Mus musculus: one gene and its partners. The protein of the gene in region 2 purifies or fractionates together with the protein of the main gene of each other region. This does not show direct contact. Links are inferred from orthologs where the notes say so. Each region holds a gene or a part of one and is shown on either strand. Other genes may lie near its edges.

What was found.
Region 1: the proteins of Ep300 (region 2) and Mta2 purify together in Homo sapiens (affinity purification with mass spectrometry, with the first as the bait; 3 studies listed by BioGRID). This does not show direct contact. The link is inferred for Mus musculus from reciprocal best matches to the Homo sapiens genes EP300 and MTA2.
Region 3: the proteins of Ep300 (region 2) and Hdac2 purify together in Homo sapiens (affinity purification with mass spectrometry; 4 studies listed by BioGRID, with this or other methods). This does not show direct contact. The link is inferred for Mus musculus from reciprocal best matches to the Homo sapiens genes EP300 and HDAC2.

The regions. Positions count from the first base shown.
Region 1 is NC_000085.6:8,948,287-8,951,936, reverse strand, and holds part of Mta2 (metastasis-associated protein MTA2), read right to left. Parts: coding exon 3,541-3,650; intron 2,987-3,540; coding exon 2,758-2,986; intron 1,638-2,757; coding exon 1,548-1,637; intron 1,026-1,547; coding exon 907-1,025; intron 802-906; coding exon 653-801; intron 448-652; coding exon 282-447; 3' UTR 1-281. UniProt on the Homo sapiens protein: May function as a transcriptional coregulator. Acts as a component of the histone deacetylase NuRD complex which participates in the remodeling of chromatin.
Region 2 is NC_000081.6:81,627,573-81,631,222, reverse strand, and holds part of Ep300 (histone acetyltransferase p300), read right to left. Parts: intron 2,931-3,650; coding exon 2,751-2,930; intron 2,631-2,750; coding exon 2,486-2,630; intron 1,223-2,485; coding exon 1,104-1,222; intron 1-1,103. UniProt on the Homo sapiens protein: Functions as a histone acetyltransferase and regulates transcription via chromatin remodeling. Acetylates all four core histones in nucleosomes. Histone acetylation gives an epigenetic tag for transcriptional activation.
Region 3 is NC_000076.6:36,998,453-37,002,202, reverse strand, and holds the end of Hdac2 (histone deacetylase 2), read right to left. Parts: coding exon 3,634-3,750; intron 1,835-3,633; coding exon 1,777-1,834; intron 675-1,776; coding exon 644-674; 3' UTR 315-643; downstream 1-314. UniProt on the Homo sapiens protein: Histone deacetylase that catalyzes the deacetylation of lysine residues on the N-terminal part of the core histones (H2A, H2B, H3 and H4).

The DNA of each region.
Region 1 (3,650 bases), on a different chromosome or scaffold from region 2:
CCCCCCAACTGTCCAAACCACCTGTGGGTCCCAGGCCCCAAATAGGGTAGGTACACACACAGGCAAGTTCCTATAGGCTGTGAAGCCCAAAAAGGGACGTTACTGGCAGTTACAGGCAGTAACTAACACCAGAGGGTGTCCAACCCCTGCAAGGACACACACACACCAGGGTCAACCCTCCCTCACTCCTTACTCCCTTTGATACCAAAAGGAATGAAGATTTGTATGTCCTGGGCACCCACCCCTCTACCTCTCATCCCACCTCCCTTCCCCTAAGATGCTCAATCCTCCAGGACAATGGGCTCATTGGTGCTGGCAGGATGTGAAGAAGCGGGCAGAGGAACTGGGGGCCGCACTGTCATCAGCGTTGGTTTCACCTTCAGGGGTAGGTTGGGCCTTCGGGCCGCTCGGCGCATTTCCAGGTGAGTTAGAGCTTTCCTTAAAGCCCTGGCCAAAAAGAGCAAGACAGAAACAGGAAAGCTTGATGAGCATCAAGACTCAACCAGGTTCAGCTCCACAACGCCCTCTACAGTTCTACCCTCTGGTACCCACATTCTCTTGTGCACCTATCTTTCTCAGATACGCCTACTTCCAATGCTGGACAACTTGGATTGCCAGCCTCTCAGCCCCTCATGGTGGACTCCCTCCCTACCTGGTGTCCTTTGTGGCCACAAATACCACTGGATTGGGAGCATCAGCAGGGTTTAGTTTCTGACGCTTGGCTGCTGGCTGTGAGCTTGAACGAATCCCTGAAGCCAGAGGCCTTCCATTGGCAGAGAAGGGGACCCCTGCCCCTGCCATCTGGAAAAGGATGGGGTACATAATGAAGGAACTACCTTCCTTAGACTCCTATTAGAAACAAAAGCCCACCCTGTTCAGCTTTCCCAACCCACTCTGTCAACTCACAGTCTCATAGGAACGTTTCACCATAATGCCCCCCAGGCCTCGATTCTGGGTCAGCTGGTTTCTGTTGATTGGTGTCTTGGTACCCCGAGGTGTTTTTGGTTTCAGAGGTGCCTGAGCCACTGTCAGTAGAGGGAGAAGGGGGATGAAATAGAAAATGTTCCCACTTTCCTTGCCTATGTAGTTTCATTACCATTCTTTCCTCCCTCTCTACCCTGACCAGTTGTTTACTCTAATGGCCTAAAGATTAATAATGGAGAAAATGGCCTATCAAGCTACTTAACCTTATTTAAAAACACATTATGCTTTCAGATCAGAAAATACGTATATAAAGCCACTTCTGTGCCAGAGATGGAGCTCAACGGTAAACCACTAAACCAGAACATATGAGGTTCTGGGTTTTGATCTACAGCACCACCACAAAAAACAATAACAAGAAGGATCATCATAATAATAAGCACACACAAAAGCTCTAAGTTGTGTGGACTCAGTGTCAAAGAAAAACTCTGGGGAAGAAGACTTAAGATAGTAAAATTTAGCTGTCAGCCTGACTGAAGAAAAGACTCTTAGAGAGGCTGGCACCACCCCAACTGTCTCTCCACCTTCCACCCACCCTGGATTGGGTGTAGTTCCCCATCTCATACCCAGATCTTTGACGATAGTTGCCAAGGGCAGCCGCACCAGAGGGTGAATTTTCAGTGGCGTCTTGGCAGCCTTAGGAAGTCGGATCGAGCCTGGAGAAGAGAGGAAGGCTCTGGGTACTCTGCAGTGAGAGGGGAACCCCTGGGTACTCTGCAGTGAGAGGGGAGCCCCTGGGTACTCTGCAGTGAGAAGGGAACCCCTGGGTACTCTGCAGTGAGAGGGGAACCCCTGGGTACTCTGCAGTGAGAGGGGAACCCCTGGGTACTCTGCAGTGAGAGGGGAACCCCTGGGTCCTCTGCAGTGAGAGGGGAGCCCCTGAGTACTCTGCAGTGAGAGGGGAGCCCCTGGGTACTCTGCAGTGAGAGGGGAGCCCCTGGGTACTCTGCAGTGAGAGGGGAACCCCTGGGTACTCTGCAGTGAGAGGGGAACCCCTGGGTCCTCTGCAGTGAGAGGGGAACCCCTGGGTCCTCTGCAGTGAGAGGGGAACCCCTGGGTACTCTGCAGTGAGAGGGGAGCCCCTGGGTACTCTGCAGTGAGAGGGGAGCCCCTGAGTACTCTGCAGTGAGAGGAGAGCCCCTGGGTACTCTGCAGTGAGAGGGGAGCCCCTGGGTACTCTGCAGTGAGAGGGGAGCCCCTGGGTACTCTGCAGTGAGAGGGGAGCCCCTGGGTACTCTGCAGTGAGAGGGGAGCCCCTGGGTACTCTGCAGTAAGGGGAAGCCTCTAGGCACTCTGCAGTGAGAGGGGAGCCCCTGGGTACTCTGCAGTGAGAGGGGAGCCCCTGGGTACTCTGCAGTGAGAGGGGAGCCCCTGGGTACTCTGCAGTTTTGTTTTGGTGTTTTGAAATGGTCCTACTGTGAAGTACCAGCTGGCCTAGAACTATTATTGTCCTGACTCCACCCCTCCAATGCTTGGGTTATACGCATGCCTAGCCTTGGTTTTTGAGACTGGGTCCTAGTAAGTAATCCAGGCTAGCCCAGAGCTCATTACATAGCCCAGTCTAATAGGACCTAGGTAGCTATATCCTGTCTCAGCCTGAGGGCTTACATTCTAGGCATGCACCACCAGACATGGCAAATCAAAGTTTCTGAAGGAACTTCACTGTTCTCTTCTGTGGCCAAGATCTCTAAACACCCGCTGTGGCCTAGTATCCCTACAGTCACTGGGCTCTGGCCAGAGCAACTTTGGACTCATTGCTAGTACTCCAGTCCTTACACTCTGCCTTGATGGCATTGGCATTGATAGGTGCATAGGGTCTTCGGGCAGCCCTCCTTGGCTGTAATAGATCTCGGCACATTCGTCTGGCTAGACGAGTTAGCTTTGTGGTCTGGAGCAAGAAAGTTTGCCTGTTCTTAGCCAGCAACTTGGCCCGGTTAGCACTGGTTGTATAGGGGGAGAGACTTTGGGCTTCAGGTCTGGATAAATGACCTCTTGAGTGTGGCTCCTAGAGGAATGACATATGAAAAAGAGAAATCAACAGTGCAATTCTGTCCTCTGTCTCCTGCAGACAGCCAACTGTTTCTACCTGACCTCTTCAGTGAAACCCCGCCCAACCATCCTGGCTTCCCAATACTTAGCAGGTGCTCCTACGCATTTGAGTGTCTCCATGGAAGAAGAGGTCAAAGGTTTTCTGGCCTTTGCCTAAAGCACTCATAGGACCACTACTCTCCCCATCCCCACGTGTTCTTGCAGTTATTCTTTTTTGTTTGTTTGTTTTTTCGAGACAGGGTTTCTCTGTGTAGCCCTGGCTGTCCTGGAACTCACTTTGTAGACCAGGCTGGCCTCAAACTCAGAAATTCGCCTGCCTCTGCCTCCCGAGTGCTGGGATTAAAGGCGTGCGCCACCACGCCTGGCATCAGTGATTCTTTTCTATTTGTTGAGACAATATCTAAGTATGTAGCCCCAGCTAACCTGGAGCTTGCTTTGTATACCAGACTGGCCTCTAACTCACCCACCTGCCTCAGTCACCATGCCAAGTTCCCACCCACTGATTCTTACTGTGGTGCCCCGAGCAGCCCCTTCAAGTTGGGTAGGGGTCTTCAGTCCCCCGTATTTCTTCCAATAAATCCAACAGGAAGCACAAAGTCGGCACTGCATGTTAGGGGGTC
Region 2 (3,650 bases):
CTACAGAGTCAATCTCAGGCTAACCAGGGACACATACACACCCTAACCCAACCCTCATATCAAAAAAAAAAACAAAACAAAAATAAAACCCCAAACTTGAGGGTTGAAATAGAGGAAGAGACCCTGGCTCAGCAGTTAAAAAGCATTTGCTGCTCTTATAGAGGCTACAGGTTCAGCTTTATGCACCTACATGATAGATCACAACCATCTTCAACTCCACTTCTATGGGGACTTACCACTCTCTTTCGGCAGAGGAACCTGGCACCCAAAATACACACCAACACACCAACACACACACACACACACACACACACACACACACAGAGAGAGAGAGAGAGAGAGAGAGAGAGAGAGAGAGAGAGAGAGAGAGATCATACACATAAATCTTCAGAACCAAGGGACTCATCTTTCTGCTGTGATCTATAGCTGTTGAGATGATAGTGAATTATTGACCTCTAACATACCAGAGAGAAAAATCAATCTGTAACACATAAAAATGTACACACTCCTGAAGTATCAGTACATGAAGGCCAAGGCAGGACCTACAAGTTCAAGGATAACATGAGATATAAAGAGAGAATCTCTCAAAATCTTAACCAATAATAGGCAAAGCAGTACTTGTACACCGACCTTCACAGCAGCCATAGTCTCAATAGCCCAAAACTGCAAATAACTTCCCAATTAAATACATACACAAAATGCAGTAATATCAACATAACTGAATACTAAATGATTTAAAGGAAGCACTGGGTGACACAGTCACATAACATGGAAGAACCTCAAAGGCTGTACTGGTGACCAGGGGTCAGTGCAAAGCACTTGCTAAGCTTTCATTCCACACTGAGTGTGATTCAAACTAGAAGAATCCAGGAGTTAGGCAGTCCTAAGGCTGGGAAAGTAAGAGTGCTGCAACTAGCAATTTTAATGGACGTGGGGTTTATTGGGGGAGGTTATGAAAATGAATTAAAACCATGGTGATAGCTATATAACAATGAAAATGCTAAAACTTGTACACTGTACATAGGTTAACTTCTGTAACAGCAATCATGTTAATAAAGTTGTTTCTCTATCTAAAAGAAAATAGAAAAATACCAAATACTTACAGGGATTCCTAGAAGCTGCGGGTCCACAGGCTGACGAAAGGGAAGAGATTCTGGGTCCTGCCGGTAAAGTGCCTCCAATGTTGGCATCAGAGCCTGTCGTAATTCCTCTGGTTTGAAAACTTTAGGGAGAGTCCATTGAAATTAATTACTGACTGAGCAAAGGGATGTTAAAGACATGCATGTTCAAAGTTCTAAAAGCATCTCAAGTATCCGAGACACTGAGGTGACATGGTCCTCAGAGAACCCTGACTAAGGGCTCACTTGCTATTTTTAATTCCCACTCTGATTTAACTACTTCCTGTAAAACAACAGAGCTATTCCATCCCTCATAGATGAGTTACTTTTCCTGCTGCAGGTTTATTGAGAATGAACTTGGCCAAATAGAAACAGAAATCAAAGGCTCCTAAAAACACAGAAGAGACTTCGCAAAGAAACAGTCCAAAAGCTGTGTGTGGAAAGAGGGGTGGGTTCTGTCAAGCGGAGCTGGCAATGTCCTCTTTGAACTGGGGTAGCTGCACATGGCAGCACTTCTAACACCAGGCACAATAATGCAGGAAGATGTTTGAGGTAAGTTTGTGGGATATAGAGACATTAAGGTTCTGTTATGGAATGCAAGCTATGAAGAGTTCAAGAAATAAGAGATTGATAATTAAAATTTTTTAATTTAATTTATCTGTGAGCATTTGTGTACCTGTGCACAAATGCATTTGGAGCGTTTAAACAACAATTTGCAGGAGTCTTTCCAGCATGGCTGCCATTTGCGTAATGTATGTCTGTGTCTCTCTGTTTGTAGACGAAGGGTCAACATTAGATGAGTGTTTCCATTCAGGTAAATAATCTTGTTTTCCACATTTAATACTTCATTTTATGTATTTCTAGGTTTGTGTGAATTTATGTACTAAAGCCTGACGACAAAAGTGGGTGTTTGGTCCCTGGAATTGGAGTTCCAGGGAGCTGCTTCGAGTCCAGTCTGCATCCTCTGTAAAAGCAGTTAAGCCCTCTTACCTCTCTCCATCCTCTATCCCCAACACCTGCCAAATTGGAGTCTTAGTAGTGTTAGGGCCTAGACTCACCAACCAGCAAGTTCCAGGGATCCTCCTGTCTCTACTTCACCAGTTGTCAAATTACAAGGGTACCACCAATGCTCAGCTATAAGACAGGGTCTCACTGTCAACCTCAGCTTTATCTGGAATTTGCTAAGTAGTAAACAAGGCTAGCCTTGAATTCAGATTTTTCTGCCTCTGGCTCCCAAGCACTGGGATTAAAGAAAGATGTTCACACACCTGAAGCATGCACACAATTGGTGGGAAACAAATTCAGACCTGGAGTGTTTGTGGGACAAGCATTTTACCAAATGGGTGACCTCCTGAGCCTTTACTTACTCTTCTTCTTTGACTGTCCAGGAGCTGGGGAGGACTGGGTAGCAGAGGTGCTTGGCTGTTCTTCCTCCTCTTTCCCATCAGTTTTTAACTCAGGGCCTCTCTCCTCCATTTCTGTAGGTTCTACTTTAACATCCTCACCTTTAGCCTGAAAGGCAAGACAGGAACTTTCAGTACTTTACAGACAGATCCCTGGGAGTAAATCCATTACTATCACCTTGCTTATTTACTCTCTCACTCCTCCAGTCTCCTTTCATAAGAACCTCACCTCCTTTGTATCCTCAGGTTGAGCATCTGCTGGTTCTGGCTTATCCACCTCCATTTTAGACTCCATTTTCACTTCCTGTGAAGGCTGCTTCTCAGGAATGGTCTGAGAATTCACTTCGGTGCTACTAGTAGATGGAGGGTTTGAGACCTGGCCTTCAATGCTCACAGCTGGCTGAGAAAGCTGGAGAGACAAAAAGAAAAGCACACAAAAGCTTGTCAGTTGCTTAGAGTTTAACTTTAAGTTACACAGCAGTGACCATTTGTGTTGGGAGCAGTGTCACTGGACCCACTGATGTCTCTTACTCAGCTCATCTTAAGAATGGGAGGTACGGAGCCAGGTGTGGTGTCGCACGCCTTTAATCCCAGCACTCGGGAGGCAGAGGTAGGAGGATTTCTGAGTTTGAGGCCAGCCTGGTCTACAGAGTGAGCTCCAGGACAGCCAGGGCTACACAGAGAAACCCTGTCTTGAAAAGCCAAAAAAAAAAAAAAAAAGAAGAAAAAGGAGGAGGAGGAGGAGGAGGAGGAGGAAGAGGAAGAGGAGGAGGAGGTGGAGGTGGTGGTACTGGACTCCCAATGCTGGCTGGTTTGTTTTACTTGAACAGCTACCAAGTTTTTGGTGTTAGTTCCAAAGAGGACTTCCTTAGAGAATTTGATCCCTGGTAGAGAGGAGAACCGACTGCTACAGGTTGTCCTCTGACTTGTGTGTTTACGTGTAATTAGTCCCATAATGTTTTAGTTTAATTTCTCAGTACTGCAACTTAATCTGTTTCAAAATGTTTTTATGTATGTAAAGTATATTGTGATGACATACTTTTTTACCCTAGAACATAGAATAAAGCAAAATGGGAAGCAAAACTAAACAAAACCATGATAAAGAAAAACAAAAACATTGCTGGAGCTT
Region 3 (3,750 bases), on a different chromosome or scaffold from region 2:
ATTGGTTGGACAGGTTTCTTTTTTCAATTCACAATTTCCAATTTCTGAGTATTTGATTCAGTTCAAAAATAATTGCTTCATCCCAAGTGCACAGATTATGAATTTGGAAATAATTTATGAAATACCAGTCTTCCTGACACAAAGTGACACTGTTATTTTTCCTGAAGTAAGAAATAGCTGTTAGAGCCAGTAAGCACTGTGTAGATCTAGTGATGGTCTCTGACACTGACATTCCTTTTGGTATGTTCCAGTCTTAAGACCATCAAGTCATTGACTTGGAAACAAGCTTTCATAATAAACAGACAGAAAACGATCCAAGTACAATTTTTTAATAAAGATAATTACAAAAGATGGAAAAATCAGCTCAGAAAGGCCAATTGTTTCTTTAATAGATCCGGCTTTTGACATAATAACACATCAATTTAAATACAATCACATAAAGCATGGTGGAAAAAAAAATTTGCTTCATAATTAGAAAAACTCACAATAAAACTTGCCAAGAAAAACAAAAACAAGCCATTTTGAAAATAAATACAGTCCATGCCAAAACAGTATAAAATGAAGCCAATGTCCTCAAACAGGGAAGGTTTCTTATCCCAGAATCGTCTCACTTTTCGAGGTTCCTAAAGTTGGAGAGTCAAATTCAAGGGTTGCTGAGTTGTTCTGACTTGGCTCTGTTGAAAGAGGATCATGAAATATTAAAAGTAATAGTCTTGGTTTAGGAGCACTGACCTGGCTACTTGCACAGTCTTATAGATTCACACCAAGCTATTCACTGTTGTTGTTGTTGTTGTTTTTTCTTTTTTTTCTGAGCAATAAAAGCCTTAATCTTTCCAGTTGTTTTACAACTGAGCATTCTAAGTTATCCTTCAAAATTAGCAAACAACTGGGTGACCAAGCACACGTGCTTGCTTCTAACACAGACTCTCATTCTTCAGCCCAGAGTGACGATTTAAAAATCACTATGTAGCTTAGTGTGGATTTAAATTCATGGCAATCCTCTGGGCTCAGCCTCTCCAGTGGACTGAGATTATAGACTCAAGCCTCTTCACAGGTGTGGATAGCCCTGGGGCTTACTTATTATATTTGATGCTACTTCCTTCTCCAGTGAGGGCCTACAAACAAGCAATGAGTCAGCACTCAGGTTTACTTCCCATAAACCTGCTTCCCACCTAATTTGTAAAATAAAGGAGAGCTGATGATTGGGCAGATAAAGGGAAGGTGGAGAAGAAGGTGGGGAGAGAGAGGAGAAAATAGGGGAGGGTGAGGATGCAGAGGAGGGGGAAGAAGAAAAGTGGAGCAGAAGCACGTGGCCTGGAGAAACTGCAAGTTCTAAGGGCTCTCACAGTTGTTGACGATGGTAGTGTAGCGGTAGATCTGCCCATTCTAGGCACACAGCATGTATTCATATTAATTGAGTTGTGTTTCATTGCCAGGGCATATTTGGGTTGGAGATTTACCGCAACACTTCACCTACCTAGCCATACATGCATTCTGATAACAAAATTCTCCAATAGGCTTTCACTTAGCCCAATGTTTTTTCCTTAAACTAGCCTGTCTCCTAACATCAAAGTATTCTAAGCACAGTAATATGAGCATCATGAAAAACACGATTGCATACATAAAAGTTACCGGTCAAATAGCCTAAGCACGTTACCCACACGCAGACCTGCACTCATTGTATGTTCTCAGGCTGTGCCAGTATTTCTCAAGTATGCATGCCCCCGCCCAACCCCCAAGACATGCATGACGTCTACAGACACAAGCATCGCTCACCCTTTGGGGTCTGTTTTCTCACCACTATTGTCCTTGGATTTGTCTTCTTCCTTAACATCTAAAGACAGAAGAAAAATATTGATGTCTATTTTGAAATATAAGACACACAATATATATATGTATGTATATAGTGTATATATAATAAATGTTAAAAACAAAAAAATAATTTAGCTTCTTGCCTTTAGGATCACTTCCTTCTTACAGTGCAGACACAGTTCTCTAGAATGTGGGTCCCAAAGAATGAACAAACTCTCAGGTAAGAGGAAAGGGTATCTTCCAGGGAAAACTGTAAAAGGACTGAGGCACGGAAGCAGTGGTAAGACAGAAGGAGCTCAAGAGAACTGTGTCTGCACTGTAAGAAGGACGTGATCCTAAAGGCAAGAGGCTAGATTATGTTTTTTGTTTTTAACATTTATTTATTCAGAGTGTGTGTGTATGTTTGGGCATCCACACCATGACTTCCATAGGGAGGTCAAAAGACAGCTTGTAGAAGTCAGGAGTCTTCCTCCAACATGCAGATCATATGTAATCAGGCTTGGCAGCAAGCACCTTTACCTTGCTGGCCCACAATATCCCATTGTTCTAACCTTAAATTTTTAATTACTACTAAACTGAACTTCATAACTTAAATACAGTAATTAAAGTAAATGTCCCAGATTAGCCAGAGTATTTTCTCTGTGTAAATTAGTTATGAAGCAATGGCCTCATGGAGAGGTGCAGGGACAGCAGCACGCTTGGGCAATGCAGACACTGCAGGGCACTGCTGTCACCTCCCATACAAATCTACATGCCGACAATGGAGATTTCACATTTTAGTGTCTTGGATAATTCTGGCTAAATTTTTACTCAGTGCCAAGAGGGGGTGGTGGTGGGTCTTATTTGAGGTTATGACCCATAGATTATTGTGGTATTTTGTCTAAAATACCAAGAGTCAATTTACTTTATCACTTTCCTATTTGGAAAAAAAAAAGAAAATGCAGAAGATATTTTAAAATAGAAAGAAACTGAGTTGGAGGTGGTGGCACATTTCTGTAATCCCAGCACCCAGGCATCTGAGAAAGGACAATGGTGTGAATCCAAGGCCACCCAGTAAGTAGCCGGAGCAGCCATGTCTATATAGTGAGGCCTAGTAAAGCCAGGCAGCCTCACTTGACTAGTAGGTCAACTAAAACTTGCAGCATTATCATGTTTAAAGAGGCTACTGCCCACTCCTTACCCCTGCACAGTTCAGCATAGCAATGAGAAACCTGAGAGTGCTAACGAGGTGCTGTAATGGCATGCTAAATAAACACTCTGAATGAAATACCGGAAGACACCAGAAACTGCCCCTTCCTATCTTTCCTCAGTTTTAGTTTCTTCAGTTCCTAAAGAGTCTTCACTCTTAAAGTAACTTTTCAAAGGACTATGTAGCTTAACTTTTGCTACATGAAGTCAGCTTTAACCAGTATAAATTATTTAGAATTTTAGCCAGGTGTACTGGCATGCCTTCAATCCCAGTATATAAGAGGACAAGGCAGAAGAGCACTGAGTCTAAGTCCACCTAAGCTACAGTAAATGTTCTGAGGCCCAACATCTGTAACTACTGTCATCCCCTTAACCCCATCCCATGACATGTAACGTTTACTACTATGTTATTAAAAGGAAGGTTTCTATACCACAAAGAAAATTTGAGCACAACTGTAAAACCTTTAAGTCAGCTCTGAAGCACTAAACAGTAAGCATGAGCGGTAACTAACTATCTCTTACACCAGGAAAAGTTACCTGCCTAAAGTGAGACGTGTGACTGCAGGATCGCTAAGAGACACAGTGCAACCCTTAAGTAGGGAAAGTGAAATGGTCACCAAAACATAAACCGACCTGTCTTCTTGTCCTCTGTCTCCTTCTTGTCTTCTTCAATCCTAGCCTTCTTTGCTCCTTTCTTATGATCAGCAACATTCCTACGACCTCCTTCACCTTCATCCTCAGAATCTGAAA